Ovis aries: one gene and its partners. The protein of the gene in region 5 interacts with the protein of the main gene of each other region in a pairwise test. Links are inferred from orthologs where the notes say so. Each region holds a gene or a part of one and is shown on either strand. Other genes may lie near its edges.

Region 1 (4,229 bases), on a different chromosome or scaffold from region 5:
TGGCTGCAGTCACCATCTGCAGTGATATTGGAGCCCCCCAAAATAAAGTCTGACACTGTTTCCCCATCTATTTCCCATGAAGTGATGGGACCGGATGGGACTGGATTTTCTGAATGTTGAGCTTTAAGCCAACTTTTTCGCTCTCCTCTTTCACTTTCATCAAGAGGCTTTTTAGCTCCTCTTCACTTTCTGCCATAAGGGTGGTGTCATCTGCATATCTCACAAGGTCAAGTTAGTGAAATCTGGCATTACTGTAACTGGGAAATGTCCTGCTCTGGGAAAACTCCAGATGATTGCCTGGGACTGTTTTTCCTCCTATTTGGAGTTTGCCAGGGAGAAAATTATAAATGAAGGATGACACCTCAGTTCCACCTAGAGAGAGCCCCAGCTTCCCTCTACTCTTTGTGTGCAATTCAAGGTCTATACCCAAGGGTAGGGTGACTTACTACTGGATAATGTTGAGTAAGACAGGATACTAACTGAAGTCAGTTAAATTCCCAGCCCCACTTCTGCAGAGAGCAGCACTCCCTGATACTTTGGAGTCTTGCTCAAATAAACAAGGTCTTTTGTTCTAGAGTTTGTCTCCCCTTCCCTCCCCGAAAATAAGGCCTGCAGCCTTATTTTAAGTGAAACTTGAAAGAGGGTTTGCTGGCGGCAGTCTACTCTCAGGTGTCTACATTCTTGAAAAAGCTCATTTTGTCCGGCATCTTCAAACTCTTGGTAAACCATTCGTGTGGTTTTTGTTGGACTCTTTCTCAGGTGACTGCTTTGTGCCGCCTCTCAATTTACGCTCTAAAAAAAAAGGCAAATCATCCTGGTAAACTCAACCCCAGCATGGTGAGGGAAGAAACACTTGTCCTCTTTTCTGAGTACTCCCAACAGTCCAGAGGGAGGTTGAACTGAGCCTCCTAAAATTCCCGCCTCCCCGGCCGCGGGTGAAGCCCTAGGGCCTTTTACTCCAGGAACAGGAGTGAGAAGGGAGAGGAGGTGGGGCCGGAGAGAGGCAGCGCGCAGCGGTACCCAGTGGTGCTGCGAGACTGCTCCCTCCAGAGTACGTGGCAGTCCCCGTGGACAGAAGGGGAGGGGATTCGGCTTTCTCCTCCCCGTGCAGAGCCTCGGACAGTCCTCCCGGGCGGGAGGGAGGAACCGCAAGGGGACTGGTGCGCTTTTGGAGTGAAATTTTAGCAGATAAAAGTGGCCTGGCAGCGGTCGGCCTCCGTCCCGCTCTTCCACCTGGGTAACCACAGCAGGTCGAGCCTGCGCTGTACCGCGAGGAGCATTGACTTGTTCGGGAGCGAGGTGACGCGCTGGCCACCCCGCATGCGCAGAGCGAGGAGCCGGCCTCCTGGACTACAGCTCCCAGAGGAGTTTGCCGGCGGCTGCAGGCGTCGAGCCGCCGGCGCCATCTTGAAATCTGATCCTCAATCTCTGAGTCTTTGCGTCAGCCGCGGGCGGCAGCCGGAGGACCGCGAACTCAGCCCGCTGAAAAGGGAGGACATTGAGGACACAGCGGCTGGCGGGAGAGACAGCTGGAGGAGACATGGCAGGTTCTGAGCGCGGCCTGCGCTGCTGTCACTCAGCATCCTCCTGAGGCATTTCCTCGCCCGCCGCCTCCCCGAGGGGCGGGGCTGATCACTCTGGTACCCAGAACCCGCGCGCGGGTGTCAGCGGAGCGCCCCTGCAGAGTGGGCACCCCACCAAGCTGTGCCATGCCAGCCGGAGGCCACCGAGGCGGGAGACGGAACGCAACCAAGCGCCAGTGAGCGATCACCGAGCAGCAGCCGCCTCCGGGAAGCTCGGCCACCGCAGGAGGGAAGATGAAGGAGATTTGCAGGATCTGTGCCCGGGAGCTGTGCGGAAACCAGCGGCGCTGGATCTTCCACACGGCGTCCAAGCTCAACCTCCAGGTTCTGTTGTCGCACGTCCTGGGCAAGGATGTCTCCCGCGATGGCAAAGCTGAGTTTGCTTGCAGCAAGTGCGCGTTCATGCTCGATCGGATCTATAGATTCGACACCGTCATTGCCCGGATCGAAGCCCTTTCTATTGAGCGCTTGCAGAAGCTGCTGCTGGAGAAGGACCGCCTCAAGTTCTGCATTGCTAGCATGTATCGGAAGAATAACGATGACCCTGGCTCAGAGACCAAGGCGGGGAATGGAACGGTTGACATTTCCAGCTTACCCGATGTCAGATACTCTGCACTGCTCCAGGAAGACTTTGCCTATTCAGGGTTCGAGTGTTGGGTAGAAAATGAGGATCAGATTCAGGAGCACAGCTGTCATGCTTCGGAAGGCCCCGGAAATCGACCCAGGAGGTGCCGAGGCTGTGCAGCTTTGCGGGTGGCTGATTCTGACTACGAAGCCATTTGTAAGGTACCTCGAAAGGTGGCGAAAAGTATTTCTTGTGGCCCCTCTACCAGATGGTCCACCAGCATTTGCACTGAAGAACCAGCGTTGTCCGAGGTTGGGCCACCAGATTTACCAAATGCGAAGGTACCTCCAGATGGAGAAAGCATGGAGGAAGGGACCCCGGGATCCTCTGTGGAATCTTTGGATGCAAGTATCCAGGCTAGTCCTCCACAACCAAAGGATGAGGAACCTGAGAGAAGTGCAAAGGAACTTGTAAAGTGTGACTGCTGTTCAGATGAACAGGCTCCCCAGCATACGTGTAACCATAAGCTGGAGCTAGCTCTTAGCATGATTAAAGGTCTTGATTATAAGCCCATCCAGAGCCCCCGAGGGAGCAAGCTTCCTATTCCAGTGAAATCCAATCCATCTGGAACCAGGCCTGGCCATATCATGACAGATGGAGTTAGTTCTGGTTTCCTTAACAGGTCTTTGAAACCCCTTTACAGGACACCTGTGAGTTATCCCTTGGAGATTTCAGACCTGCAGGAGCTGTGGGATGATCTCTGTGAAGATTATCTGCCACTTCGGGTCCAGGTATACAAAATGGCTGCATATTGCCTTTCTGATTAAAGTTAGCTGGCTTCAGGCTTCACATGATTTCTATCTAGGGGAAGGTTAATAGTCTAGACTTGGTAACCCATTTTTGCTTTACCTTTTGCTTCTGTCCATTTTAATAAATGTGATTCACACAAGTAATTTGCTTTCCACAATAGCCTCTTTATAAGATTATCTGTTGGCTTTCCCACTAATTATCAAAATTGTACATGTTTAAGACAAAGATTCATAATTCATTTTTACCCTAAAAAAATTTTAATCTTATTTCTGGCACTGGAACTCTTTCCTCTCACTTGTCCTACCGCCTCTCTACTTTTGTCTGTTTTGTTTTCACTTTTAGATTTATGAATATTTTCTTCTCTGAGGGAGGGAGTTCTCAAGTTAGTCCGCCCTAGAGCATTAAGCCATTCATCCCCACCTGTGCCTTGAACTGATTAGAGCATAGGGTAAAGGTTTGAGGAGAACCTATTAATCCACCAAAATATTGTAATATGTGGACAACATTTATAAATTAAGAGGTCATTTGAGGACTAATGATGACTTTTTCATAAAAGAGACTTGGGAATTCAGAATTTAAAATGTTAAGGCAAAACGTGTCTACAGCCAGTTTGTATAATGAGCTCTATGTGAAGATGTTTGGTGTTGAGCAGGACTTCATCCATTATTGGGTGATAGAGTTTTACCTGTTTTACTCGTGAATTTCGTAATGACTGGAAGATGGCAGTTGATCTTACTTTGAGCTGTTCATACCAATCTTTTAAATTCAGTTGTGTACAGGGGCCTGACAGATGCTGTCTTGTTTATACAGCAGCAGTAGTTTCAGTTAATGTTGTGAAACATCTGGCATGTTCTACTTGATATAGATTCTTTAGTGATACCGTTACAGAGGTGGACAATCTAGAAGGTGTTTCTGGAAAGCTTGCTAACCAGTCAACATCATCCCAGAATCTTAGAGCTTCTAAATGAAATTGTTGATTGTCACTTGACAGCTTTGAAAAACAGTTCTATTATGTATAAAATTTGCATCACAGTAAGAATATGGGAGAAATATTTTTGAATTTGCACTAACTTGTCAGAAACAGCATTGTTAGGGAAAAGTATGAGTATCCAAAAGTTTAAACTGTGTTTTCATTTCTATAAAATGTTTAGGATGCCCAACACTTGTGTACTTTCCTTTCGCTCCCTTTTCTTTCATTGACCTTCACAGCTAAATTTGAGCTTTCCAGTACAGTATTTCTGTGAGCCAACATAGATGTCACAGATTCATCG
Region 2 (4,040 bases), on a different chromosome or scaffold from region 5:
TAACCCCCTTAAGGATATACTTTACTTACATTCTTCCTACACCTTCATACATGTTAGTCTCATCTACCAAAGTCATAATCTCTGTATCTGTAAGATGTGCATGCTTTTTCGTTCTGTTCAGCTGTTCAATCTGTACATCTGCAAGCTTCACCTTCTGTTGAGTGTCAATAACTTTGGCTTGAAGCTCTGTGAAGGCCTAAAAAGAAATAAGTCCTTGATTTAGTAGGTGCAACATTTTACAGTAAATGTCTATATCAAATCTATTAAAATGAAGCCTGTTAAACAGACAAAGCCGTGAAATTTACCACAGCAAACATCTCAAAGCCAGTCTGCTAAAAACTTGAGCCCTGAACAATTCAGTGATTAGAAGCACTGACCCTCTGTGCAGTTGAAAATCCAAGTATAATTTATAGTTGACTCTCCATATAGCAGTTCCTTTGTATCCCTGGTTCTACATTTGTTGATTCAACCAACTACATATCATGTAGTACTCTAGTATTTACTATTTTAAAAATCTGTGTACAACTGGATCCCTGACGTTTAAACCAATGCTGTTCAAGAGTCAACTGTACTGAACTTACCCAGTCCTCAGAAGATGCAACCTATCTGAAGAAGCTGAACAAAGGCACGGTAAATAACAACCATATCAAGTAGCAGGTACCCAAGGATTAATAAAAGCTCTAAAGGCAACAATCACAAACCCAGAGACCCAAATCAGGAACCATTAATGTAACAACTCACCACATCTGTACTACTCAAGATTATTTAAAGCACTTTCCCACACTTGTTTGAAATATTAACATGTGAATATTAATATGAGAATACTGACATATAATAAATGTCTCATTTTCTCTTTTCAATAATCCTGAGTTAAGGATGGCAGATTCATCAGCACAGTTTACAAATTAACTAAATGTTTTAAAGAGATATAAATGACTTTCACAGGGCTGAGCAACTACTAGGTCAAAAACCAAGTACTTAATTAACTTCTGACCGCTAGTTACTGAATCTTTCTACTCTACTATCCACAGTAATATTCAGAAAATGAATATTTTAAGAGAAAGACACACAAAAAAATTCAAAGCATTGATAAAAGAATTGCATCATGATCTTCATATGCACACGATAAGCCAAACTTGACCTCTGAGTACTGTTAAAAGGTTTTTGATACTTCTGAAGTGCCTAGAATGATTTTCACATGCTGTCAAATTCTGACTTAATAATAACATCTGTGGCTGCAATACATGGCAAAAAGCTACTAACTTTTATTCTGACTTTGTTCTCACCTACTAGTAAGGTTTCAAAAGGTTTATCTAGAGGGGAGAGGAGGTACCTAAAGTTTCCTATTAGTCTCCATCCCTTCCCCTCCCCCCAAAATTATAAACATTAAAAGACCTTTAAACAAGTTTCTTCTGTAATTTTATTGGTTGACAAAACTACCCAATTTAAGTCTGTAATTATCTTCTTAGTTTGCATTCACTGTCCACAGGTTTCCCAGCAACAGACTGAAATAATACTGAGGGGTAAGTCCATTCATAGCTGTATTCTATTGTTAGCTCTCACTAAACCCTAACTTAAATTTGAACTTTTAACGGAAAAAAAAGGTAAACTTTTAAAACACTTTAAGACACAGTTTGGTAAGGAAGCTAGTATTTTGTTAAAGCTGAGATAATACAGCACTAGACAGCACCATAAGGAGTAAAGGTACAAGTTCCAAACAAAAGGCAATACACACACACAAATCCTCAGAGCAATAATACACTGCTTCATCTATTACGTGGAAGAGCTACTTCAACTGTCTTATTTCTCATGCAAAGATAGATTACAAGACAGTCTTAAACAAAATTTGCTCTTCTAACCTCAAGTAGTGGTCAAAAGGTGGAAAGTGAGGCAGAGAATGCAATATTCTAGAACCAAGCTTGGGCTGACTCTTCTGTTAAACTGTTTCCTTTTCTAGAAAAGTATCAGTTTAAAGTAGATGAAGTCTAGGCTCCTTTCCAATCCCCATTCTCCTTCTCTTCGCAAAAAAAAAAAAAAAAAAAAGGATACGCTTTTGAGTCGGTAGTGGTGTTAGAATCCTGACAACTCTCAGGTGGTGAAAACATTTCTGTGTAACAACACATTTCTAGGCAATTGTTTGAAGAGAGAAACTCAATTCCTTCTGATACCAATTTGATCTGGAAACCTTTGACTTGTTTCTTCTTTGACAAATCTTTAAAAACGAGGGTGGGGAGGGGGCGGTTGTTGGCAAAGCCCTAAGATGAACATTGCTACGAGGATACCTGACTGAACTGTATGAAGCGACCTTACAAGATATGGGATTAAAGAACTGACCTAAAAACAGACTGGACTTGGAGTTTTTCAAAGCAAATTAGTATACAGAATTACAGATGCTACAGCTCGGGCAAGCAGGCTAAGAGGCTCCAACTGGAAGCGCTCATTTCAGGCCTCACTATGGAACTGAAGGCACCAAGAGCAACGAAAGGTCTCTGGAGCTCGGAACAAGGGAACAAAACAGCTATAGGCCCGCCAAACTTAACCAGGCCCAGCCCAACCGGCTCTTACCCGGCAAAGAGCCGCTCGCCCTCGACTCCCGCCTAAGGAGGCCCGGTCCCGCCTTTGCACTCTGAGAAACCACTCCCCATTTCCCTGGGGCCTCTTTCCTTCCGCAGCACTCGAGACTCACTCGACATTATTGTCCACAGTCGCCTTAGCTTCCAAAGAAAAGCTTCTGCCTGCTCAAGACCCTCTTTTACCTTCTTCAACTCCAGATCCACGGGGGCCGCCATCTTGCTTCACTACTGCGCCTGCGCAGTGGGAGAAGCCCGGAAAGAGCGTGGGGGAAGGGCGCGCCCTGAAGATTTGATAGGGCCTCTTCCTTCTGCGCCTGCGCATGAGTGGGGCTGCTTGGTTTTCCTACCTTCCCCGTCGTTATTAACGCCTGAAATAACCGGGATTCCGATTCAGAGTACGTCTTCCCCACGTGACCTATGGGCCTGCCGTGATTCTCCACATCCTTCCAAACACGGCACAATCTGCAGATTTCGTGTGTGTGTTTTTTTAATATAAATTTATTTATTTTAATTGGAGACTAATTACAATATTGTATTGGTTTTGCCATACATCAACATGAATCCGCCACGGGTGTACACGTGTTCCCCATCCTGAACCCCCCTCCCGCCTCCGTCCCCTCGTGTGTGGTTTTAACCACTTCGACAAATAGTTTAGTTTGTGTCGCTAAATTAAGATGTATGTAGATCAAGCTAAAACCTTTAAAGTCATTCATGCCTTCAGCGAGTCCTGTGCTGTCAGGGAGGGATGAGAAAGAATCAGCCTGAGTTTCAGACATGGCAGCATGGAGAAGACCAGAAGGCTTCAGTTCAGTTCAGTCGCTCAGCCGTGTCCAGAAGGCTTAGTTGAAGCGTTTTCCCAAAGAACTTATTTATACTGAATGTTCTCAGAAGACCTTGTAGACACAGGAGTTCTCACGAGAAACCAAATTTCTTTTTAAAAGAAAAAAAAAATGCAGATTCTCTGATCCTCATCCCAAACTTACTTAGAATCTTTGATATGGGGCACAGAAATACATACTTTTGCAAACTCCTTTTATGATCTGATCTAAGTGGACTGCAAACCACATTTTGAAAATCTGCTGTAAAATAGCTGGCATTTGAACCAGAAGGATGACTAGAAGGATGGACATGAAAGAAATGGATATCTTCCTTACTCTAAAAACCTGTGAGGCAGGGGAAAGGGCAGGGAGTTTGGAACTAAACAAATCTGTATTCAAGGTTTGGTCTACACTGAGCGTAGGTATGTCTGCTTCCATTTACTAGTTGTGTATCAACAGAGTCTGTCTCCTCATTTAATATGAGAATAACAGTACTGACCTAACAGAGTTATTCTGAGGAGTAAACAAGATCAGGATGGAAAGCTCCAAGCATAGCACAATGCACACAGTAGGCACACAATAAAAAGGTATAATTAAGTTCATGTAGTTAGCATTGTTATATTTGTCTTTCAAGATACAGCAAGCAGCA
Region 3 (3,940 bases), on a different chromosome or scaffold from region 5:
GGAACAACGGTCTGGTTCCAAATTGGGAAAGGAGTACGTCAAGTCTGGATATTGTCACCCTGCTTATTTAACTTCCATGGAGAGTACATCATTTGAAATGCCAAGCTGGATGAAGCACAAGCTAGAATCAAGATTGCAGGAAGAAATATCAATAACCTCAGATACGCAGATGACACCACCCTAATGCCAGGAAGCGAAGAGGAACTAAAGAGCCTCTTGATGAAACTGAAAGAGGAGAGCAAAAAAACCACTCAAAACTCAACATTCCAGCTCGCGTCAGCACATATGCTAAAACTGGAACGATACAGAGGTTAGCACGGCCCCTGCACAAGGATGATACGAAAATTCGTGAAGCATTCCATATTAAAAACAAAAACAAAAACCCTCAACATTAAAATAACAGATCATGGCATCCTGTCCCATCACTTCATGGCAAACAGATGGGGAAAAAATGAAAACAGTGGCAGATTTTCTTTTTCTTGGGCTCCAAAATCACCGTGACTATACAATAGTGACTACACCCATTAAATGAAAAGACGCTTGCTCCTTGGAAGAAAAGCTATGACCAACTAGACAACATATTAAAAAGCAGAGACGTTAATTTGCCGACAAAGGTCCTTCTAGTCAAAGCTATAGTTTTTTCAGTAGTCATGTATGGATGTGAGAGTTGGACCAGAAAGAAGACTGAACGTTGAAGAATTGATGCTTTTGAACTGTGGTGTTGGTAGAGTCTTGAGAGTCCCTTGGACAGCAAGGAGATTCAACTAGTCAATCCTGCAAAAAAATCAACCCTGAATATTCACTGTAACTACTGATGCTGAAACTGAAGCTCCAATACTTTGGCCACCTGATGCAAAGAACTGACTCACTGGAAAAGACCCTGATGCTGGGAAAGATTGAAGGCAGGAAAAGAGGACGACAGAGGATGAGATGGTTGGATGGCAAAGAGCCAGACACAACTGAGCCACTGGACTTAACTGAGGGAAAAAACAAAACAAAAACCAACGTTTGCGCATGCCCACTAAAACACCCCTACTGGCCCCCACCCACCGGGTGCTGGCTCAGCCCCGCCTCTCCCGGTTTCCGGGGGAACTGTGTTACTGCGACACTGCTCCGGCTCTCCTTTTTCCGCCCTCCATTGCTTTCTCCGGTGCAATGGCATCCGGCCTGACAAAGCTGCTGCTGCGAGGTCCCCATTGCCTCCTGGCCACGGCCGGCCCCACTCTCGCTCCGCCGGTTCGGGGAGTGAAGAAGGGATTCCGCGCCGCTTTCCGGTTCCAGAAGGAGTTAGAGCGGTGGCGCCTGCTCCGGTGCCCGCCGCCGCCGGTGCGCCGGTAGGAGCCACCGGGGGAAGAGGTTAGGGGTGGCTGTCCTGGAGCCGGGGCGTGCTCCCCGCGGCTTCGGCCGGGGGGGCGGGTAGGGATGCTCATCGTTCGTTTGCTCCTGGCTTGACCCTAGTTGTGCGATAGAGACTCCCACGGGTCGTGGACGCGTGGCGGAGGCAAAGGGCATGCATTTCTGCTGGGCGCATGGTTGCCCCCGACGCTCTTGGAACTCCCATTTGGAATCCTGTAGGAGAAGGCAATGGCACCCCACTCCAGTACTCTTGCCTGGAAAATCCCATGGACGGAGGAGCCTGGTAGGCTGCAGTCCACGGGGTCGCTAAGAGTCGGACACGACTAAGCGACTTCACTTTGACTTTTCACTTTCATGCATTGGAGAAGGAAATGGCAACCCACTCCAGCATTTTTGCCTAGAGAATCCCAGGGATGGGGGAGCCCGGTGGGCTGCTGTCAGAGGGGTTGCACAGAGTCGGACACGACTGAAGCGACTTAGCAGCAGCAGCAGCAGACTGAGACTTGTGAGAAATAAGGCCAGCTGGAGGGTAACCTATACCGGGCTTGCGTGTTTTAGCCCCTGCTTTGTATTGCTGCCTCAGAATTCCTTGGGTACGGACAAGAGGGAGGAAAGCACAAAACGGTATTGCGATATAGGGCAAGGAAAAAAGTACACAATGACAAGTCCACTGTTCAGAGGAAAGGGAAAACAGCTTGGCTTTAGGTTTTTGCCATAATTAATCTTGTTCTGCTAGAGGAAAGTCTGGTAGGAAGACCCTCAGATCTTCATATAACTCCAGAAAAGATCCCCTTACACATGAGGTTTTGCTTTTTTTTTTTAAATAATGTTTCTTTGACCTGTGTCGTGGTGGTACAAATAGATGCACCTCACTCTTTGATGGCTCCGTTTGACGGGTGTTTGAGTTACTGTTGCTACTACAACCGATGTAACACCGAATAGCTTTGAAGTTATTGCTCCTTTGGAAATTTAGTATGAAAATTGATAGCTATTTTAATATTGCCCTTCCCCCCAAAAAGCCGATGTATTTTATACACTTGGTAGGAATATATATGTTCATAGTTCTATATTTTTTCAACACAGAATATTGTTTTTTCCTAAAAACAATAGTAAAATAGTGTTCCTTCTTAATCTACATTTGGTTATAGTGAGGTTAGTCATTTTAGGCTTTTATAGTTGTTAGAAACTTTATATATTATATAGATTATATATATCTTAATGACTTACAACCCAGATCTTTATGCTTTGCAGCCCTTTTTTACTTGAGGGTTTTATTTTTGGTTTATTGTCTTTAGTTTTTAAAAGACCTTTTAGTCGTTCTTGAGAATGGTTGTGAAGTTTTAACCTACTTACAATATTGTATTTTATTGTTTTAAGATTTGGAAGCATTCATTGAAAATTAGCAATAAAATCTAGTATCAATTGCAAATTTTCAATGAATGCTTCCAAATCTTAATAAAATACAATATAAATATAACATACTTAGTGTTTATGACTTGAACATATGAAATTATAATTTCTATTTCATGTGTGAGTATAAAGCATAGTTCCATGGTTATAACAGTAGAACCTAAAAGTGAGGATAAGGTCTTAGTCTCTGTTGATGAACTGCTTTGATGTGGCAGTTGACTCAGAGGGACAGTTAATCCAGCAAAGGACCACAAGTAATCATCTGACGTAAGTTTTAATTTTTAGAAAATCAGATTCTGGAATTAAAATGAAGCTCAGTCTTTTAAAATTTTCTTTATATAATTAAATAAAATTGCATCACAATGAGAAATGTTTGCATCACAGCACATCTTGTTCTCTTTATTACCTCTTACTGTCTTGTGTTTTACATTTTCAGTTCGGAGAAGCCCAATTGGGATTACCATGCTGAAATACAAGCATTTGGCCCTCGGTTACAGGAAACTTTTTCATTAGATCTTCTCAAAACTGCGTTTGTTAATAGCTGCTATATTAAAAGCGAGGAGGCCAAACGCCAAAAACTTGGAATAGAGAAGGAAGCTGTTCTTCTGAACCTCAAAGATAATCAAGAACTATCTGAACAAGGGACATCTTTTTCACAGACATGCCTCACGCAATTTTTTGCGGACGCTTTCCCAGACTTGCCCACTGAAGGCGTTAAAAGTCTGGTTGACTATCTCACCGGTGAGGAAGTTGTGTGTCACGTGGCTAGAAACTTGGCAGTGGAGCAGTTGACGCTGAGTGCGGACTTCCCTGTCCCCCCAGCTGTGTTACGGCAGACTTTCTTTGCAGTGATTGGAGCCCTGCTACGGAGCAGTGGACCCGAGAGGACTGCACTCTTCATCAGGGTAGGTGATTGTTAGCTGCACGTGCTGGAACATGCTTGAGGTAGAAAGAAAAACTTCTTTTTGTACTTTACTTCTTTGCGCTATGACCTTGGCAGGTTACATGTGAATTTTTCTCCTGATCCAAACTGAGAAAGACCTAAAGCTTTTTATCAGTTCAGTTCAGTCACTCTGTTGTGTCCGACTCTTTGCGACTCCATGGACTGCAGCATGCCAGGCCTCCCTATCCATCACCAACTCCTGGAGTTTACTCATACTCATGTCCATTGAGA
Region 4 (4,258 bases), on a different chromosome or scaffold from region 5:
AACTTCTTCATTTTGCTCCTTTTGAGGTTTTTCTAGTGTGTCGACAGTGTGAGCAATCATTTCCAGCAACAAGAGGCATTAATTTCACAGGATCAACGCTTCAAGTTATGAAAGATACGGAGTTAGCTTAGCAGTAACTAAAACTCTAGAATATGGCGATTTGAACACAATACTCAGGGGTAGTAAAGAATTTTGCTCAGAGAATTGCCATGTATTATTTGAAAACGCTTTCCATATGTCAGTTGTTCTAACATCTTTATCAAATAAGTGACAATTAACATACTTATCTTTATACAGGTAGAGAGATTACTTTTGACCTTCAGTTCAGTTCAGTCGCTCAGTCCTGTCCGACTCTTTGCGACCCCATGAACCACAGCACGCCAGGCCTCCCTGTCCATCACCAACTCCCGGAGTTCACTCAAACTCACATCCATCGAGTCGGTGATGCCATCCAGCCATCTCATCCACTGTCATCCCCTTCTCCTCCTGCCCCCAATCCCTCCCAGCAGAGTCTTTTCCAATGAGTCAACTCTTCGCATGAGGTGGCCAAAGTACTGGAGTTTCAGCTCTAGCAAAGAACACCAAAGAACACCTAGGACTGATCTCCTTTAGAATGGACTGGTTGGATCTCCTTGCAGTCCAAGGGACTCTAAAGAGTCTTCTCCAACACCACAGTTCAAAAGCATCAATTCTTCGGTGCTCAGCTTTCTTTACAGTCCAACTTTTGACCTTAGATTAGCAAAAAGGCAGACCAGTGCATCCCAATGGGGAACACGGAACTCCTTCCCCACAGTCTGGCTACCTGGCAATGGAGTGGATTCCTGCCTGAACTCTCCTCCCCCCTCCAACCTTGCCGGAGGTGGGGACAGCAGCCACCATGATAAGCCCACACCAGGACCCACAGAAAGATGCAGGCCGCCCCCCCTTCCCCCCCCAGCCTCTTTCCTGGCTTTCTGGTTTCAGTGAGAAAACAGGACAAACACAGAAAATCAAAGTGTCTGGCTGGGGCAGCAACAGGTGCAGTCAGCCACGTACCTCCTGGCTAAGTGACTGGATCCCTCCTGGGTCAGAGGACACCACCCGCCCATTTCACAGGAAGAGGTGATGACACTCAAGGCCTGGCTCTCCGTAGAGGCTCCTTACACAGCCCTGTCCCACCAGGCTCTCCACACAGCCTCGTCCCTTCCCCAGACACTGTCCAGGGCGGTCTAGGTGCTGCACTAGCTTAGGAGAACAAGGAGGCCAGTCAAGACAGCCCTGGGGATGTGGGTCAGTTTTGAGAGGTTTAAGCACAGCTTATAAGCACAGAGAGGTCCACATCATAAGCTAAGTCAAGAGAGCAAAGACAAGAAAGGCACAGTTTGTGGAAGAGTAAGATGCCAAACCTGTTGGAAGGATTGAGAAGTGAAGTTTAAGGACCAACATGAGCAAGAATAGGAGGCCGGGACACCTGCAAATTGAACCTGATTCCTGAAGCCCAGAGAGCATGCCTGGGTTCCCAAGGGCAACACCACACTAGGGCGCACCATGGAAATGGGCGCTGACACTGGAGTCACGGAGCCGTGACTGACTCCATTCAGCAGTGAGTGTTTGCTGTGCACTTTCTGTGTACCGTGCCCGGGATGTGCCAACAAACAAGTCTCCATCACTCAGGAACCCGCCAGCCAGTGGGCAAGAGGGTGAGACAACTAATATCAAGGCATGCTCCGCCATCGATCAGCAAATACAGCCCTGCTTTTTATAGTTATTATCCTTCCAGGTCCCCCAACAACCACCTTCAATAAGTCCACCCAAAGGTATTGATTAAACATCTAATATGGGCAAGAGCCGACTCACTGGAAAAGGCTCTGATGCTGGGAAAGACTGAAGGTGGGAGGAGAAGGGGACAACAGAGGGTAAGATGGTTGGACGGCATCACCGACTCAATGGACACGAGTTTGAGCAAGCTCCGGCAGGTGGTGAAGGACAGGGAGGCCTGGCATGCTGCATGGAGTCCATGGGGTTGGGAAGAGTCGGACAGGACTTAGCGACGGAACAACAATGGGGTGATCACAGCAGGAGCAGGTGGTGGGAAACTCGGGTGGGGCACTAACGAGAAAATAATGTCCTTCTCCTGGGATTTGTAAACACTCTCCATCTGCCAGACGCTGCAAGGGAAAAAAAGTCTCAGAAACAGCCCTGCCAGGCTGAGTGGAAGATCTGCTCTAAGAAGACTGGGGCAGGACGGAAAACATAAGAATGCTCCCCAAGAGCCGGGACACTCCCGGGAAAGGTGGCCCAGGGGTCATCCGTCCCGCCGAGGCCGGGCTCCTCGGGCAGGGGCAGCGCTCCGAGACGCGAGGTCCGATCCCGACGCCAGCTTTGGTCCGAACCCCCCAACCCCCGTCCTCCGACTCCCACCCCAACACCGACCGCCGATCTGCATCCCGGTCTCCGGCCCGCACCCCGACATCCCACATGGGCCCCGACCCCCGGACCTGCACCCTAGCCCGCACCCCGGGCCGCACCCGGTCCGCGCACGGGGACCCGGCCCAGACCGCAGTTCCGATCCCGGCCCGGCGCTCACCTCCGTGATGATGTCGTGCAGGTAGCGGAACGGGGGCTTGTTCAGCAGCTTCTCGGTCAGCGGCGGCCTCCGGATCACCTTGCCCAGAGCCTCCTGCGTCCGCTTCACCACCGCCGCGTTCATGGCCGCGCCCCGCCGGCCACAGAGCCTAAGCCCGGCTCCCGGGCCGCCGCCGGCCCCGCCGCCGCCTCGGCTGCCCGCTCCGGCCTCGACGCGCCGCTCGGGTTCCCATCCCACAGTGCACCGGAGTCCGCCCAGGCGCGTGCGCCGGGCCGCGGCCCTCGGTCGCCAGGGGTGGCGCGGCCTTAGCAACGGACGCGCCGCGGGGCCCCGCCCCCTGCCCGGCTGCGCGCGCACGCGACGACGCCGGCGTGGGTGGGGCTGCGTGCCCGCGGAGGGACAGCGCCCAGGCCCCGCCCCTCTAAGCCGCCGCTCGAGGGAGGTGCTTCTCCACTCGCCACTGAGGAGACCGCCCGAGGACTGGCCGGCGGCCGCAGCGCTTCCAGGATTTCCGGTGCCTTTTTCTCAGGTTTAAGGCGAACTGGACTGAGTGCCCTCGAAATACGCATGCCCTTTCCTGTTTGCTACTTAATACGGCTTCCTGAGCGAGTATTAATGTCTCTGCTTGCCAACAAAGATCCGTCGACTCAAAGCTATGGGTTTTCCAGTATTCATGTATGGCTGTGAGAGTTGGACTCTAAAGAAAGCTGAGTGCGGAAGAATCGATGCGTGTGAACTGTGGTGTTGGAGAAGACTCTTAAGAGTCCCATGAACTGCAAGGAGATCAAACCAGTCCATTCTGAAGGAAATCAGTCCTGAATATTCATTGGAAGGACTGATTCTGAAGCTGAAACTCCAATATTTTGGCCACCTGATATGAAGAACTGGCCCATTTGAAAAGATCCTGATGCTGGGAAAGATTGAAGGCAGGAGGAGAAGGGGATGACAGGGTGAGATGGTTGGATGGCATCACTGACTCAATGGACATGAGTTTGAGTAAGGTCTGGGAGTTGGTGATGCACAGGGAGGCTTGGCGTGCTGCAGTCCATGGGGTCGCAAAGAGTTGGACACAACTGAGCGACTGTAATGAACTGAGTGAGTAACTCCTTTTCTCTGAGTCTCTGTTTCTATAAAGCAGGAGAATCTGTGCCAGCCTACCTAACTCCCAGGGAGGTGATGACCACCAAATGATGTGCCAGGGCTCTGTAACCAGCACAAAGCCACACCCTTGTTCTACTGGGTGTTTATGGTTGTGTCCCATCTGTCTTTCATCCACCACGCACAGGCTCACAGTAGATCCTTTCCACGCTTTGCGGTCTCTTTTTACTTCTTCTCATGGATGCCTTTGGGCTTCCCTGGTGGCTCAGATGGTAAAGAACGCCTGCAATGCGGGAGACCTGGGTTCGATCCCTGGGTTTGGAAGATCCCTCAAAGAGGACATGGCAACCCACTACAGTATTCTAGCCTGGAGCATCCACATGGACAGGGAAGCCTGGCAGGCTGCAGTCCATGAGGTCGCAAAGAGTCCCACACGACTGAGTGATTAAGCATGATGAATACCTTTATAGTTTTTATTTACACTCATTTTTGCCATTTTCAAAGTGCTCCATGCTTTATGTGTTCTTTGCTTATGATGTGGAGTTTTTAACTTAAATTTTATATCTGATTATTATTGACATTCAATAAAATTCA
Region 5 (4,152 bases):
CAAGGAGACCCAACCAGTCCATCTTAAAGGAGATCAGTCCTGGGTGTTCTGATGTTGAAGGACTGATGTTGAAGTTGAAACTCCAATACTTTGGCCACCTGATGCAAAGAGCTGACTCATTGGAAAAGACCCTGATGCTGGGAAAGATTGAAGGCAGGAGAAGGGGACGACAGAGGATGAGATGGTTGGATGGCATCACCGACTCAATGGACAACGGTTTGGGTGGACTCCGGGAATTGGTAATGGACAGGGAGGCCTGGCATGCTGCAGTGGTTCATGGGGTCGCAAAGAGTCAGACACGACTAAGCAACTGAACTGAACTGAACATCCTCTTATGGAAATTAAGAAAAATTCACAGAACACATTAATCTTTCATTCAAACATGTCACACTTGTGACATGTTCATTTACTGAGTATCTATTAGGAGCTAGGGACTATTATGAGTACTGATATAAATACAGTCCCTTTGAGGAGCTTCCATTTGAATGTGGAAAATACATAATTAATACACAGTATGTCAGGAAGTATAAAAGCTAAAAGTAAAACCAAGTAGGGTAAGGGTAGGTTCCAGAGTGATGCAAAGGAGAGAGTGATCAGAGGTGTCTTAGGGAAGGCCTCTCTAAAAGAAAAGTAATATCTAAGAAAATATCTGAATGGAGTGAGCTAAGCAAAGATGTGTGGGAGGACTTCAGGGCAAACAGCAAATGAAAAGGCAATCAGAAGAACAGAATGAGGCAGAGTAAAAAAAAAAAAGATATGCAAAGAGCCAGATCATGAGGAGCCCTGTGGATAGGTAATGAGTTTAGACTTTATTGTGATACGATGGGATGTCACTGGAGGGCATGGCATGGTCCAGTCCATGTGCTTTTTTAAAGGCCTTTGTTAACAACAAGGTAAAGAACTGACCCTAGGGTAGACTGAGGAGACAGTTCAGTGACAATCATGCTGTAACCTTTGGGCAGAATAAGGAAGAGTGGGCCTGAAAGGAGGGCCCCAAAGATACACCTCTACAGTTTTGCCCTGAAAGATTGCTCCGCTTCCTTCATACTCCCAGGCCCACTTGGCTTTTGGTAGCCCAGATTCTAAGATGCCTCCCATGATCTCTGTCCCCAGTGGTTAAGCCCATGATTAGACCTGTACAGGCAAAAGGGATTTTACAGATATAAGGGGGTTTCTAATCAGTTGACCTGATTTATCAAAAGGGATTTATCCAGGTGGGTTTGCCCTAATCACATAAGCCTTTTAAACCTAGGTCTGGAAATCAGAAACAGGGAAGAGATATTAAAGTCTGAGAGACAAGCTCATGGTAGCCTGCAAGAAAGTAAACATCTATGTTATAAACTGCTTCTGAGAATCTTGTGGCAAAGAATTTCAGGCTGCCCCCAGGTAGGTGAGGTGGGAGCTAGCAAGAAAACAGGGACTTCAGCCCTACAGCTGCAGGGACTGAATCCTGCTAACGAACTGAAGGAGCTTAGAAGAGGACCCTGAGCTCAAAAGAGAACCACAGCAGGGACACACTTTGCACCCCTGTATGACAGCAAGCAGATAACGGTAACCATTCACCTCTAGAAACAATAAGGTAATAAATGGGTGCTGTTTGAGGCTGCTCCATCTGTGCTACCTGAAATGTACACACAGCAACAGAAAACTAATACACACTCCACTTTCCTACAGAAGAGCCTGCTTCTCTCACCCTGGAAACGAAAGGGGAGATGGAAGATAAGCAAACTTGGAGGAAATGAAAAAAATTGACTTTTCTAACCCACTGAGGCCAGGGACTTTGCTCAATTGCTCGAGTCACAGAACCTGTTTTGTAAATTCCACATTTTGCCAAAATACAAATTCTCTTTCAATTGTGAGCAATGGAAGTAGGTTTACTATTTTAAATTTCAGTAAATTACTTTGATGTGTGTGCTTAGTCGGTCAGTCCTGTCCGACTCTTTGCGACCCCATGGACTGTAGCCTGCCAGGCTTCTCTGTCCATGACAGTCTGCAGGCAATACTGGGGTGGATTGCCATTTCCTTCTCCAAAATTACTATGATAATTATGCAGAAATAAAGGTAACTACTTGGACGTCTGCCAAAGTTGTCCTAGCACCTAGAGACAGAGATCCTCAGGCTAATCTCAGAAACGTGCACAAGGTCAGGGGCTTAACCTTCCTCGAGTTCTAGAAGCTCGAGCTCTTACTCTGTTTTTGTTCAGAGTAAGAATAGCTCAAGAGGCGTTCTCAGCTACTTAAAGAAAGGCAGTCCTTCCTGGATAATTACAACCTTGACCCCTAAAACGCGGTCTCTAGCAGTCCAGGCACCTCCTTAAGGTGCAACAAGCCAAGAATATGCGCGTCCCTCTGGGAACTGTAGTTTCCCCCCCGTCGACCTTCAACCACTGGATCCGCGAAACCTCTCACGCGCCCAACCGGCGACCCGGGCGCCAGCAGCCTCGATTGGTCCTAGACTGAGGCAGCGAGGGGCTGATTGGATGGCACGTCCCCAAGGCCGTGCCTCCCGTCCTACACCCGCCTCCCCGCCACCTTCTCTTCTCCACGCCCCATCCCGCTTCAGCAATAACCCTCCAGTCATTCCCGTCCACCGAACTCCCGAATTAACTGCCTCACGGGCCCACCCAGGACTCTCGCGATAAGGGCGGTCCGGAGACACGCCTCTGTCCTGGGGCCTAGGCAAAGCCAATGCCTCCCTTATTTTCCGCTGGTCAGTTCACCCACCATGCGCTGTCTCCCGGCGCCCCCGTCCTCACCTGGGCGGTGGATGTCACGCCGGATAACTGACAGGCTCGCAGCATCTCTACTAGGCTGACGCCGCTGCGGGTGTAACTGGGAGCTAGGGCGGCGGCGCGTGTAGGGGACACGGTGCGTCCGTGCGTGCCTGCGTCCGTGCCGCCTCTCCGCGCCGGGCGTACCGGAAGGGCAGCAAACGCCACTGCGCATGCGCAGGCCCGTCTTGCTCCTGTCCCGGCCATTTGAAGAGGGTGGGCCCTTTCCAAGCGGAAAGGGCGATTTCCCCTTCCGGGTCGCGCTGAGACGTCGGCTCTGTTACCCGAAGTATAGATTGTTAGGTAAGCGGGAGGGCTGGCGGTGGATCTGAGACTCAGGCTTTGGTCTGCCCAGGAACCAGGCAGGTGTGACTCGTCGAGAATTCAAGCAAGAAATTATCTCAGCCATTTCTGTCAGCTGAATATTTCGTAGAAAGAAAGGGATTTGCCGAAAGTTACGTAAACAATGGTGTGGTCTCTGCGCGTTCCTTTTGTTTCGCAGCCCTTCAGGGAGTCATCCTGCTTAAGGGAGATTCAGTTCAGTTCAGCTCAGCCTGTCAGTCGTGTCAAGCTCTTTGCAACTCCATGGACTGCAACACTCCAGGCTTCCATGTCCTTCACCGACTCAGGGAGCTTGCTCAAACTCATGTCCATTGAGTCGGTGATGTCATCCAACCATCTCATCCTCTCTCGTCCCCTTCTCCTACCCTCAATCTTTCGCAGCATCAGGGTATTTTCCAGTGACTCAGCTCTTCGCATCAAGTGGCCAAAGTATTGGAGTTTCAGCTTCAACATCAGTCCTTCCATTGAACACCTGGGACTGATCTTCTTTGGGATGGACTGGCTGTATCTCCTTGCAGTCCAAGGGACTCTGAAGAGTCTTCTCCAACGCCACAGTTCAAAAGCATCAGTTCTTCAGCGCTCAGCTTTCTTTATAGTCCAACTCTCACATCCATACCTGACCACAGGAAAAACCATAGCCTTGACTAGACGACCTTCGATGAAAAAGTAATGTTTGCTTTTTAATATGCTGTCTAGGTTGGTCATACTTTCCTTCCAAGGAGTAAGCCTCTTTTAATTTCATGGCTGCAGTCACCATCTGCAGTGATTTTGGAGCCCCCAAAAATAAAGTCAGCCACTGTTTCCCCATCTATTTGCCATGAAGTGATGGGACCAGATGCCATAATCTTAGTTTTCTGAATGTTGCACTTTAAGCCAACTTTTTCACTCTCCTCTTTCACTTTATCAAGAGGCTCTTTAGTTCTTCGCTTTCTGCCATAAGGGTGGTGTCATCTGCATATCTGAGGTTATTGACATTTCTCCCAGCAATCTTGATTCTGGCTTGTGTTTCTTCCAGCCCAGCGTTTCTCGTGATGTACTCT

Evidence for each region.
Region 1: the proteins of IMMT (region 5) and PDE4DIP interact in a two-hybrid assay, tested with the Homo sapiens proteins (2 studies listed by BioGRID and IntAct, with this or other methods). The link is inferred for Ovis aries from reciprocal best matches to the Homo sapiens genes IMMT and PDE4DIP.
Region 2: the proteins of IMMT (region 5) and PFDN1 interact in a two-hybrid assay, tested with the Homo sapiens proteins (2 studies listed by BioGRID and IntAct). The link is inferred for Ovis aries from reciprocal best matches to the Homo sapiens genes IMMT and PFDN1.
Region 3: the proteins of IMMT (region 5) and MRPL44 interact in a two-hybrid assay, tested with the Homo sapiens proteins (2 studies listed by BioGRID and IntAct). The link is inferred for Ovis aries from reciprocal best matches to the Homo sapiens genes IMMT and MRPL44.
Region 4: the proteins of IMMT (region 5) and TRAF3IP1 interact in a two-hybrid assay, tested with the Homo sapiens proteins (2 studies listed by BioGRID and IntAct). The link is inferred for Ovis aries from reciprocal best matches to the Homo sapiens genes IMMT and TRAF3IP1.

The regions. Positions count from the first base shown.
Region 1 is NC_056054.1:97,759,420-97,763,648, forward strand, and holds the start of PDE4DIP (myomegalin), read left to right. Parts: upstream 1-1,423; 5' UTR 1,424-1,817; coding exon 1,818-2,939; intron 2,940-4,229. UniProt on the Homo sapiens protein: Functions as an anchor sequestering components of the cAMP-dependent pathway to Golgi and/or centrosomes.
Region 2 is NC_056058.1:49,170,293-49,174,332, forward strand, and holds the start of PFDN1 (prefoldin subunit 1), read right to left. Parts: upstream 2,806-4,040; 5' UTR 2,790-2,805; coding exon 2,757-2,789; intron 197-2,756; coding exon 30-196; intron 1-29. UniProt on the Homo sapiens protein: Binds specifically to cytosolic chaperonin (c-CPN) and transfers target proteins to it. Binds to nascent polypeptide chain and promotes folding in an environment in which there are many competing pathways for nonnative proteins.
Region 3 is NC_056055.1:226,107,426-226,111,365, forward strand, and holds the start of MRPL44 (large ribosomal subunit protein mL44), read left to right. Parts: upstream 1-1,137; 5' UTR 1,138-1,155; coding exon 1,156-1,334; intron 1,335-3,202; coding exon 3,203-3,671; intron 3,672-3,940. UniProt on the Homo sapiens protein: Component of the 39S subunit of mitochondrial ribosome. May have a function in the assembly/stability of nascent mitochondrial polypeptides exiting the ribosome.
Region 4 is NC_056054.1:2,994,475-2,998,732, forward strand, and holds the start of TRAF3IP1 (TRAF3-interacting protein 1), read right to left. Parts: upstream 2,809-4,258; 5' UTR 2,690-2,808; coding exon 2,567-2,689; intron 1-2,566.
Region 5 is NC_056056.1:58,091,984-58,096,135, forward strand, and holds the start of IMMT (MICOS complex subunit MIC60), read right to left. Parts: upstream 2,801-4,152; coding exon 2,756-2,800; intron 1-2,755. UniProt on the Homo sapiens protein: Component of the MICOS complex, a large protein complex of the mitochondrial inner membrane that plays crucial roles in the maintenance of crista junctions, inner membrane architecture, and formation of contact sites to the outer membrane.